Sus scrofa: one gene and its partner. The protein of the gene in region 1 binds, or shares a complex with, the protein of each later gene. Links are inferred from orthologs where the notes say so. Each region holds a gene or a part of one and is shown in the gene's direction. Other genes may lie near its edges. The genes, in order: NPR1 and NPPA.

Region 1 (3,807 bases):
GATGCCCCGTTACTGTCTCTTTGGGGACACAGTCAACACAGCTTCAAGAATGGAGTCTAACGGGGAAGGTATGCTGGGCCCTCTAGGCAGGGTGGGGAGGGCAGGTCCTCCTGGCAGCTCACGCCCATTCAATCCCTATTCTCCCCCTTCCAGGCTCCCTTCTTAGAAGGGTTCAGCCTGGCCAGATCACCCTCAATCCAACCAGAGACTCAGGTCCCAGCTGCCCACTCTTGCCAAATGATAGACCACTCTTCTCAGGCCAGTGTCCAGCAGTTCTTAGCAGGAATCCTACTTTTAGGGTCCTCTTAGGTGTGGTAAAGAGAGCTTCTCAGTTTTCCTCATCTGGAAAATGGGAATTAAATATCTACCTCTGAAGGGAGTTCCTGATGTGGCGCAGCAGAAACAAATCCTTCTAGTATCCAGAAGGACTCAGGTCCCAGGCTCACTCAGTGGGTTAAGGATCTGGTGTTGCCGTGAGCTGCAGTGTAAGTCGCAGACGTGGCTCGGATCCTGAGTTGCGGTGTCTGTGATTTAGGTCAGTGGCTACAGCTCCGATTCAACCCCTAGCCTGGGAACCTCCATATGCCGAGGGTGCGGCCATAAAAGAAAAAGGAAAAAAAAATTAAAACACACAAACAAAAATATCTACCTCAGAAGATTTATGTGAGAGAGTTGCCTCACATGACTAACACATTGTCATTCAACTTTTCTGGGCTTCAGCTGTTTATCTATAAAATGAAGCCTGTCTCAGGTTGTAAAAAACATAGCATAACCCCTGGGACACAGTAGGTGCCTAATAAATGCTTGCTCCCACCTCTTCCCTTGGGCTTGCTTCCTATGGCTCTTTGACCGCCTGCTGTATTCAACACAGTTCAATTCAGTCAACATTTATTGAGCAACTACTGCACACCAAGCCCTAACACACTATGATAACCCAGATCACAGTTTGCTGGGGAACCCACGCCCACCCCATCTAGGCCTCATGGTGGGCGAGGGGCTCCTTGGGAGCCCAGAGGGGGTCTGGTTCAGCAGATATTTCAGGGCACAGTGTTTGGGGCTGTTGGGGTGGGAGAAATCTTCTCACTGAGGTCCAGAGCTCAAGGAGCGCGTGCTTAGACATGGTTTAACGAGGAACAAGGCCGCCGTGACGCAGACCCCAGGAGTTGGGGGGGCAAGTTCAGAGGCTGGGCAAAGAAGGGGCCACCGGAAAAGGCAGTCGGGAGTCAGGCAGCCTGGGGCTGACCTCAGCGCCTCTTGGGCAGATCTCCTCCCCGAGGCCTGGCCTCCCTCAGCCCTAAAATGAGGGTGTGGAGTAAAATAATGATGGTAGCAAACACTTAGAGTGAGTGCCTCCCATGTACCAGATTCTTTTTTGGTACTTTGTCAATAATGTGAAGTTTAATCCTCCCAAGTCTTCGAGGTGGGTCCTGCTGTTATCGGCATTTTGTAGACTAGGAAAAAGGCACAGAGAGTTTGTATTACTTCCCCAAGCAAGTGTCCAAGCTGGGATTCATACAGGCAGGGCAGGTTCTAGTGTCTGAGCTCCTGACTGCTGGAATCTACCGTCTGTCCAGAGCCTGGTCATGCTCTGGAGCGCCGTCCAACAGAAGCTTCTGCAGTCATGGAAATGCTCCCTAAGCTGTGCCAGGCCAATGTGATAGCCTCTGACGCATTGCTTTTTTAACTGTATTTAGTTTTGGGGTTGTTCGAGTGTTTTTTTGTTTTGTTTTTTACTTTTTAGGGCCGCATCCTCAGCATATGAAGGTTCCCAGGCTAGGGGTCTAGTCGAAACTACAGCAGCAGGCCTACGCCAGAGCCACAGCAACACAGGATCAGAGCCACGTCTGTGACCTACACCCACAGCTCACGACAACACCAGATACTCAACCCACTGAGCGAGGCCAGGGATTGAACCCTCAACCTCATGGTTTCTAGTCAGATCTGTTTCCCCTGCACCATGATAAACTCTTTTTTTTTTTTTTTTTCTTTTTTTTGGTCATGCCCTCGGCATGTGGAAGTTCCCTGGTGGGGGATCAGATCCACCCCACAGCAGCGACCCAAGCCACTGCACTGACAATGCCAGCTCCTCAACCCACTGTGCCACAAGAGAACTTCTTATTTAGTTGTTGCTGTCGTTGTTGGTTTTTCCTTTTTCACCCATACCACGGCATAGGGAGGTTCCCAGGGCAGGGATGGAATCTGAGCCATGGCTATGGCAATGCCTTGTCTTTAACCCATGGTGCCACAGCGGGAACTCCCTATTTAATTTTCACTAAACTTAAATAACCACATGTGACTGGTGGCTGTCATGGTGGACAACAGAGCTCTAGAATTCTTAAGGAGAGGCCAGTGTGGTCACACACCACATGGAGGGGATGGGACTCAGAATTAGGAGGCTTTCTAGGCCAAAGGAAGGAGAGAGGGCATCTTTCTAGCCTCAGAGTCCCTGATCTCCTGCTCCCATCTCTTGCATCTCTCACCTCCCTTCTCCCTTCTCCTCCCCAGCCCTGAAGATCCACTTGTCTTCTGAGACTAGGGCTGTCCTGGAGGAGTTTGGTGGTTTCGAGCTGGAGCTTCGAGGGGATGTGGAAATGAAGGTAGAGAAGGAAGCACCTGCCTTTGCCACCCTGTGGGGCCCCAGAGGGGCTGACTCTCCCCCAGGCCCTTTCTCAAGCAGCCAGACCCGCTCCCATCATTTGGGAGAGTGGGCGTGTCACTCCCCAGCCCCAACCTCCTCTTTTTCCCTCCAGGGCAAAGGCAAAGTTCGGACCTACTGGCTCCTGGGGGAGCGGGGGAGTAGCACCCGAGGCTGACCTGGCTCCCCTCCTGGCCTTCCACACCTCCCTTCCCTGTGCCAGAGGTGACAGAGAGGCGCCAGGCTTCAGCCTCGCCCACAGCATCCTCACCATTGCCAAAGAAGTGGTTTGAACAGCTCAGGTGAGCCCACCCCATTGGAGACACCAGATATTACCTCTGAAAGAGGGCTGGTGTGGAGGAGAACTTGGGGCTCACAGGACTGGACCAGAACTCACAGTCATGCCCAGGGACCCCCACACATAGGCACAATCACTCGCTCTCCACCCTGACTCAGGCCAGGCCAGATGGGATGTGGATTCCTGGATCCTCCTGGCCGTCCCTGTGCCCTCCTCCTCCCTCAACCTTGCTACACTGTGACTTTTGTGGGGACAGGGGAAGAGCCCCCTGAGGGGGGCATGGGAAAAGGGACTGTAGGTGAATCCAGGACCACCAACAGCCCCTGTTCCCCACCACCCGACGTTGGGTGCAGTGCCCAGGGCAGCAGAGGAAGGGCCGGAGGGCTGTGGGCCTGTATGCCTTGCTTCTCCTGTGAGTGGAGACCATTAAAATCTTTATTCTAGTGACAGTGTCTTTTCTCGAGGGAGAGAGGGTGGCCAGAAAACAGAGCCGTATTCTTCGCCCCCTGCTTCAAATAGAACCTGTTTCTCAAGCTGGGATTGCAATGTGGGATCTGAAACAAGGCTGCAGTTTACCTTCAACTTTGAGAAGCCAGTGTCATAGGCTTTGAATTACCCTAGCAGTGCCGGCACTATTGGTTTTAGTCTTGTTTACACCTCTAAGAACTACTGAGGGCCTCCCAGAGTTTTTGTTTATGTGAGTCGTATCTATTGATATATTCTGTATTAGAAATTAAAACAAGGCTTTATCAACTCATTTAAAAGAACTATAATAAACCCATCACGTGTTAATTTACTGCTTTATCAAGGACATTCTTTTTTTTTTTTTTTTTTTTTTTTTTGCCTTTTAGGGCTGCACCTGCAGCATATGGAA
Region 2 (3,883 bases), on another chromosome or scaffold:
CCGGAGCTGGTGATGAAAAGGAGAGAATCCACATATAGCTCTCAGCCCAGTGTCTGGCACATTCCACCCAACCAATAAAGACAACCGTGGTGAGCGCCATGCAATTAGATAGTAATTCACACTTTAGAATTTGCTCACCTATTCATAGCTCTTTGGAGCCGCGTTTGGGGCTGCACTGCTGGGCTCTCCTCCCTTCAAGTGCAGGCTTGCCCCCAGGATACGTTGCATCAAAGAGTGTGCAGCATTGAGTGCAGTGAATGGAGGCCCCTCCTTAAACGTGGACAAGCTCACCCCTGGTGTTTCTCTTGTTGGGGGGGGGGCGGAAATGGAGGCCTCAGGGGCTTATCGCTTTCTTAGCCTCAGAGAAGGATGTGGGCGGCGTTAAGGGAAACTGCATGGACCCTGGTTGTCTCCCACCCTCACTCCATCAGCCAACTTTGCCTGGGAGCTTGCCTGGAAGGTGTGAGGCCCTCCATGCTTCAAACCCAGAGGCTGAGCTTCTCCAGATGAACATGCCGGAGAGTTCCCACAGTGGCTCAGTGGCAACGAACCCAGCTATTATCCATGAGGATGCGGGTTTGATCCTTGGCCTTGCTCAGTGGGTGAAGGACCTGTTGTTGCCGTGAGTTGTGGTGTAGGTCATATGCAGCTCAGATCTGGTGTTGCTGTGGCTATGGGTCGGCGGCTGCAGTTCTGATTCAGCCCCTAGCCTGGGAACTTCCATATGATGCAGGTGTGACCCTTAAAAGCCAAAAAAAAAAAAAAAAAAAAAAAAAAAAGGCAAATGCCAGCATCCTCTCAGGGCCCATTTCCTGCAGCTCCTCGGAGGGAGCTGTGCGGGGGTAAGATTTGCAGAGCGATGACCACGTTCCCCAAACTCTTCTGGGTGTTTGTATTTGGGAGCAGGGTTCTTGGGACATTTGTCACATTTAGTTCCGGCTGACTTAGGACTCTAAAAAAGTCCTCTGTCTTCACCTGATGGCTGAGAGTGACAGCCAGGGAGCAAGGGCAGCCCTGTGGAGGGAAAGGCCTGCCCTCCCCACCCAGGAGTCAGGTGTGAGGTCAGCTGGAGCATCTGGACTAATTTGTCCCTAGCCGCTGGCTGCCTGCCATTTCCTCCTCTCCCGCCCTTATTTGGAGCCCCTGACAGCTGAGCCGCAAACCAGCAGGGGAGCTGGGTGCCAGCCAGCCGTCACCCTGTGCTTCCCTGCCTGGGTCCCGTTGCCCAGGAGAAAGAAGCCCGAGGCATCGCTGGGAGATAACCAAGGACTCTTTTTCGCTCTTCTCACACCTTTGAAGTGGGAACCTCTTGAGGCAAATCAACAAGAATGTGGCTCTTGCAGCTGAGGGTCCCGGGGGTTGTTGGGGCTGCTCAAGGTGGAGGGGCTGTGACAAGCTGGCTGGACTGATAACTTTAAAAGGGCATCTTCTGCTGGCTCCTCACTCAGCGGCTTTATCACTGCAAGTGACAGAATGGGGAGGGTTCCATCCCTCTTGCGCTCTCGGAGAGCCTGGGGGCTATAAAAGAGGTGGCTCAGGGCAGCTGGAAGACAGAGACGGACGAAAGCCAGGAGGGGGAAACCAGAAAGGAGAGGGAAGAGGAGCAAGTGGCAGACCACTCCCTGACCGACGCCAGCATGGGCTCCTCCACCATCACCGTGAGCTTCCTCCTCGTTCTGGTGTTTCAGTTCCCAGGGCAAACCAGAGCGAACCCTGTGTACGGCTCCGTGTCCAATGCAGACCTGATGGATTTCAAGGTAGGGCCAGGAAAGGGGCACAGTCTGGGGTGAGGGGGCTTTGGGACCTGGTGCCCGTCAGTGAGATCTCTCCCTTTCCCGCTCTTCCTTTTATCAAGAATTTGCTGGACCACTTGGAGGACAAGATGCCTTTAGAAGATGAGGCTATGCCCCCACAAGTACTAAGCGAGCAGAATGAGGAAGTGGGGGCCCCTCTCAGCCCCCTTTTGGAGGTACCTCCCTGGACCGGGGAGGTGAACCCAGCCCAGAGAGATGGGGGTGCCCTGGGGCGGGGCCCCTGGGACGCTTCCGATAGATCTGCCCTTCTGAAGAGCAAGCTGAGGGCACTGCTTGCTGCCCCTCGGAGCCTGCGGAGGTCCAGCTGCTTCGGGGGTAGGATGGACAGGATTGGAGCACAGAGTGGACTGGGCTGTAACAGCTTCCGGGTAAGAGAAACCAGGGGTGGAAATGGGACGGGGAGGAAGGACATGGGGTTTCATTGATATTCAGGCCTTGTGAAAGAGTACCACTAGGGATGCCCTCAGCAGGAGAGGGATCAGCATTAAGGCTCATTCTCTTTGGGGAGTTCCCGTCGTGGCGCAGAGGAAACGAATCCGACTAGGAACCATGAGGTTGTGGGTTCGATCCCTGGCCTTCCTCAGTGGGTTAAGGATCCGGCGTTGCCGTGAGTTGTGGTGTAGGTCATAGACAAGCCTCAGATCTGGCCTTGCTGTGGCTGTGGCACAGGCCGGTGGCAATAGCTCCGATTCGACCCCTAGCCTGGGAACCGCCATATGCCTCTGGTGCAGCACTAAAAAAAAAAAAATAAAATAAATAAACAAACAAACAAACAAACAAAAAAACCACATTCTCTTTGAAATTTCTGCGCTAGCTGGGTGGGAGCTCTGTGACTCTCGGAACAATGACGTCATCCTCAGCTAGAGCCTGCTGAGAAAATGATAGGCAAAAAAGAAGTTCCTTGCCATGAGCCCTGGGAACTTAAAAAATTCACCTTCTTCCGGCTGATTGGCATTTTATGCTCCTCCCCAAAGTGTCAGATTCCCCCCAAAATGGAAATTTACCAGGATCGACTTTACTAGCTCCTCATGTCAATTCGTTTGCCAGTTCATGCAACTCAGGCAGTCGTTGGGCTGGAGAGGGGACCGTAGGAAGTAAGAATTGTCCTGTGAAGCTGACTTTTCCAGGAGAGCCAGGTCCCCAAGCCAAACACGTTTCTGTTCTCTTTGTAGTACCGAAGATAACGCCAGGGAGGAAAAGGCGAGCCAGGCCCCGGCCAGACTTGGAGAGACCCTCATCCCCTGGGGTCTCTCTCTCATCTTTGTCCTGTCTCGTTGCTGTCAAGTTGAGGTGTGAAGAGCACCCGATTCAAGGGGCAGCCTCCTGTCAACATGTCTCACATTTTAGGCTAAATGTAAAGTGATTTCATTGCGGCTTCTCCACCTCTCCCACTCCTGCATTAAATTTTAGTCACCTGTTAACTGACATTGGTTTCAAAACCAATAAACTTCAGCACCACGGACAGACGCTGAAGGCTGTGGTTGGTCTGATTTCTTTCAACTCCCGAAAGGAGTTTAGTCTGCTATTCCTTGTCATTTTACCTTTCCTCAGAGTAAAGAATGCTCAATTCCTTTCCCCCTCCTTTGTAAAAAATAATAAAATTATTTTGGGGTGCAGTTTTATTTTATGCTCACAGCAAAGCTGAACAGAAAGTAGAGATTTCTCATGTAACCCTGGCCACCCCCGATGCACGGGCTCCTCAATTATCAACATCCCCCCCCAGAGTGGGACATATGTTCCCATCGACGTACCTGCACTGACACAGCAGAGCCACCCAATGTCCACAGTTCACAGAGAGGTCATTCTTAGTGGTGTATATTCAATGGGTTTGCACAATTTTGGGCTCCCTTCATTCCTCTGTGTATGGGTGTTTGCGTGTGTGTGTGTTTAGGGCTTGGGGACTCAAAACACAGCTCTTAACCTGCCTTCATGCTCACTGCCACCTCACCATGGATCTTGAAAAATCCCCAGGAGACCCAAAGGGTATTTATCTTTACTCAGATGTGCTCACATTTAGGGTACTTATTTATTGAAAAAGAAAAGTTACAAATATCAGGGCTTTTTTGTTT

Evidence for each region.
Region 2: the proteins of NPR1 (region 1) and NPPA are in contact, whole or in part, in a crystal structure (PDB 7BRG), measured with the Rattus norvegicus proteins. The link is inferred for Sus scrofa from reciprocal best matches to the Homo sapiens genes NPR1 and NPPA. Residues at the interface, in NP_036745.1 of Rattus norvegicus: Asp90, Val115, Tyr116, Ala119, Pro120, Arg123, Ala139, Leu140, Gly141, Ile142, Val144, Tyr148, Tyr182, Asp184, Leu186, Gly187, Asp188, Asp189, Arg190, Phe193, Phe194, Val196, Glu197, Tyr200, Met201, Arg204, His213, Gln214, Glu215, Phe216; in NP_036744.1 of Rattus norvegicus: Arg126, Ser127, Ser128, Cys129, Phe130, Gly131, Gly132, Arg133, Ile134, Asp135, Arg136, Ile137, Gly138, Ala139, Gln140, Ser141, Gly142, Leu143, Gly144, Cys145, Asn146, Ser147, Phe148, Arg149, Tyr150.

The regions. Positions count from the first base shown.
Region 1 is NC_010446.5:95,957,142-95,960,948, reverse strand, and holds the end of NPR1 (atrial natriuretic peptide receptor 1), read left to right. Parts: coding exon 1-68; intron 69-2,505; coding exon 2,506-2,597; intron 2,598-2,750; coding exon 2,751-2,813; 3' UTR 2,814-3,729; downstream 3,730-3,807. UniProt on the Homo sapiens protein: Receptor for the atrial natriuretic peptide NPPA/ANP and the brain natriuretic peptide NPPB/BNP which are potent vasoactive hormones playing a key role in cardiovascular homeostasis.
Region 2 is NC_010448.4:71,918,961-71,922,843, reverse strand, and holds NPPA (natriuretic peptides A), read left to right. Parts: upstream 1-1,498; 5' UTR 1,499-1,637; coding exon 1,638-1,757; intron 1,758-1,855; coding exon 1,856-2,182; intron 2,183-2,986; coding exon 2,987-2,998; 3' UTR 2,999-3,287; downstream 3,288-3,883.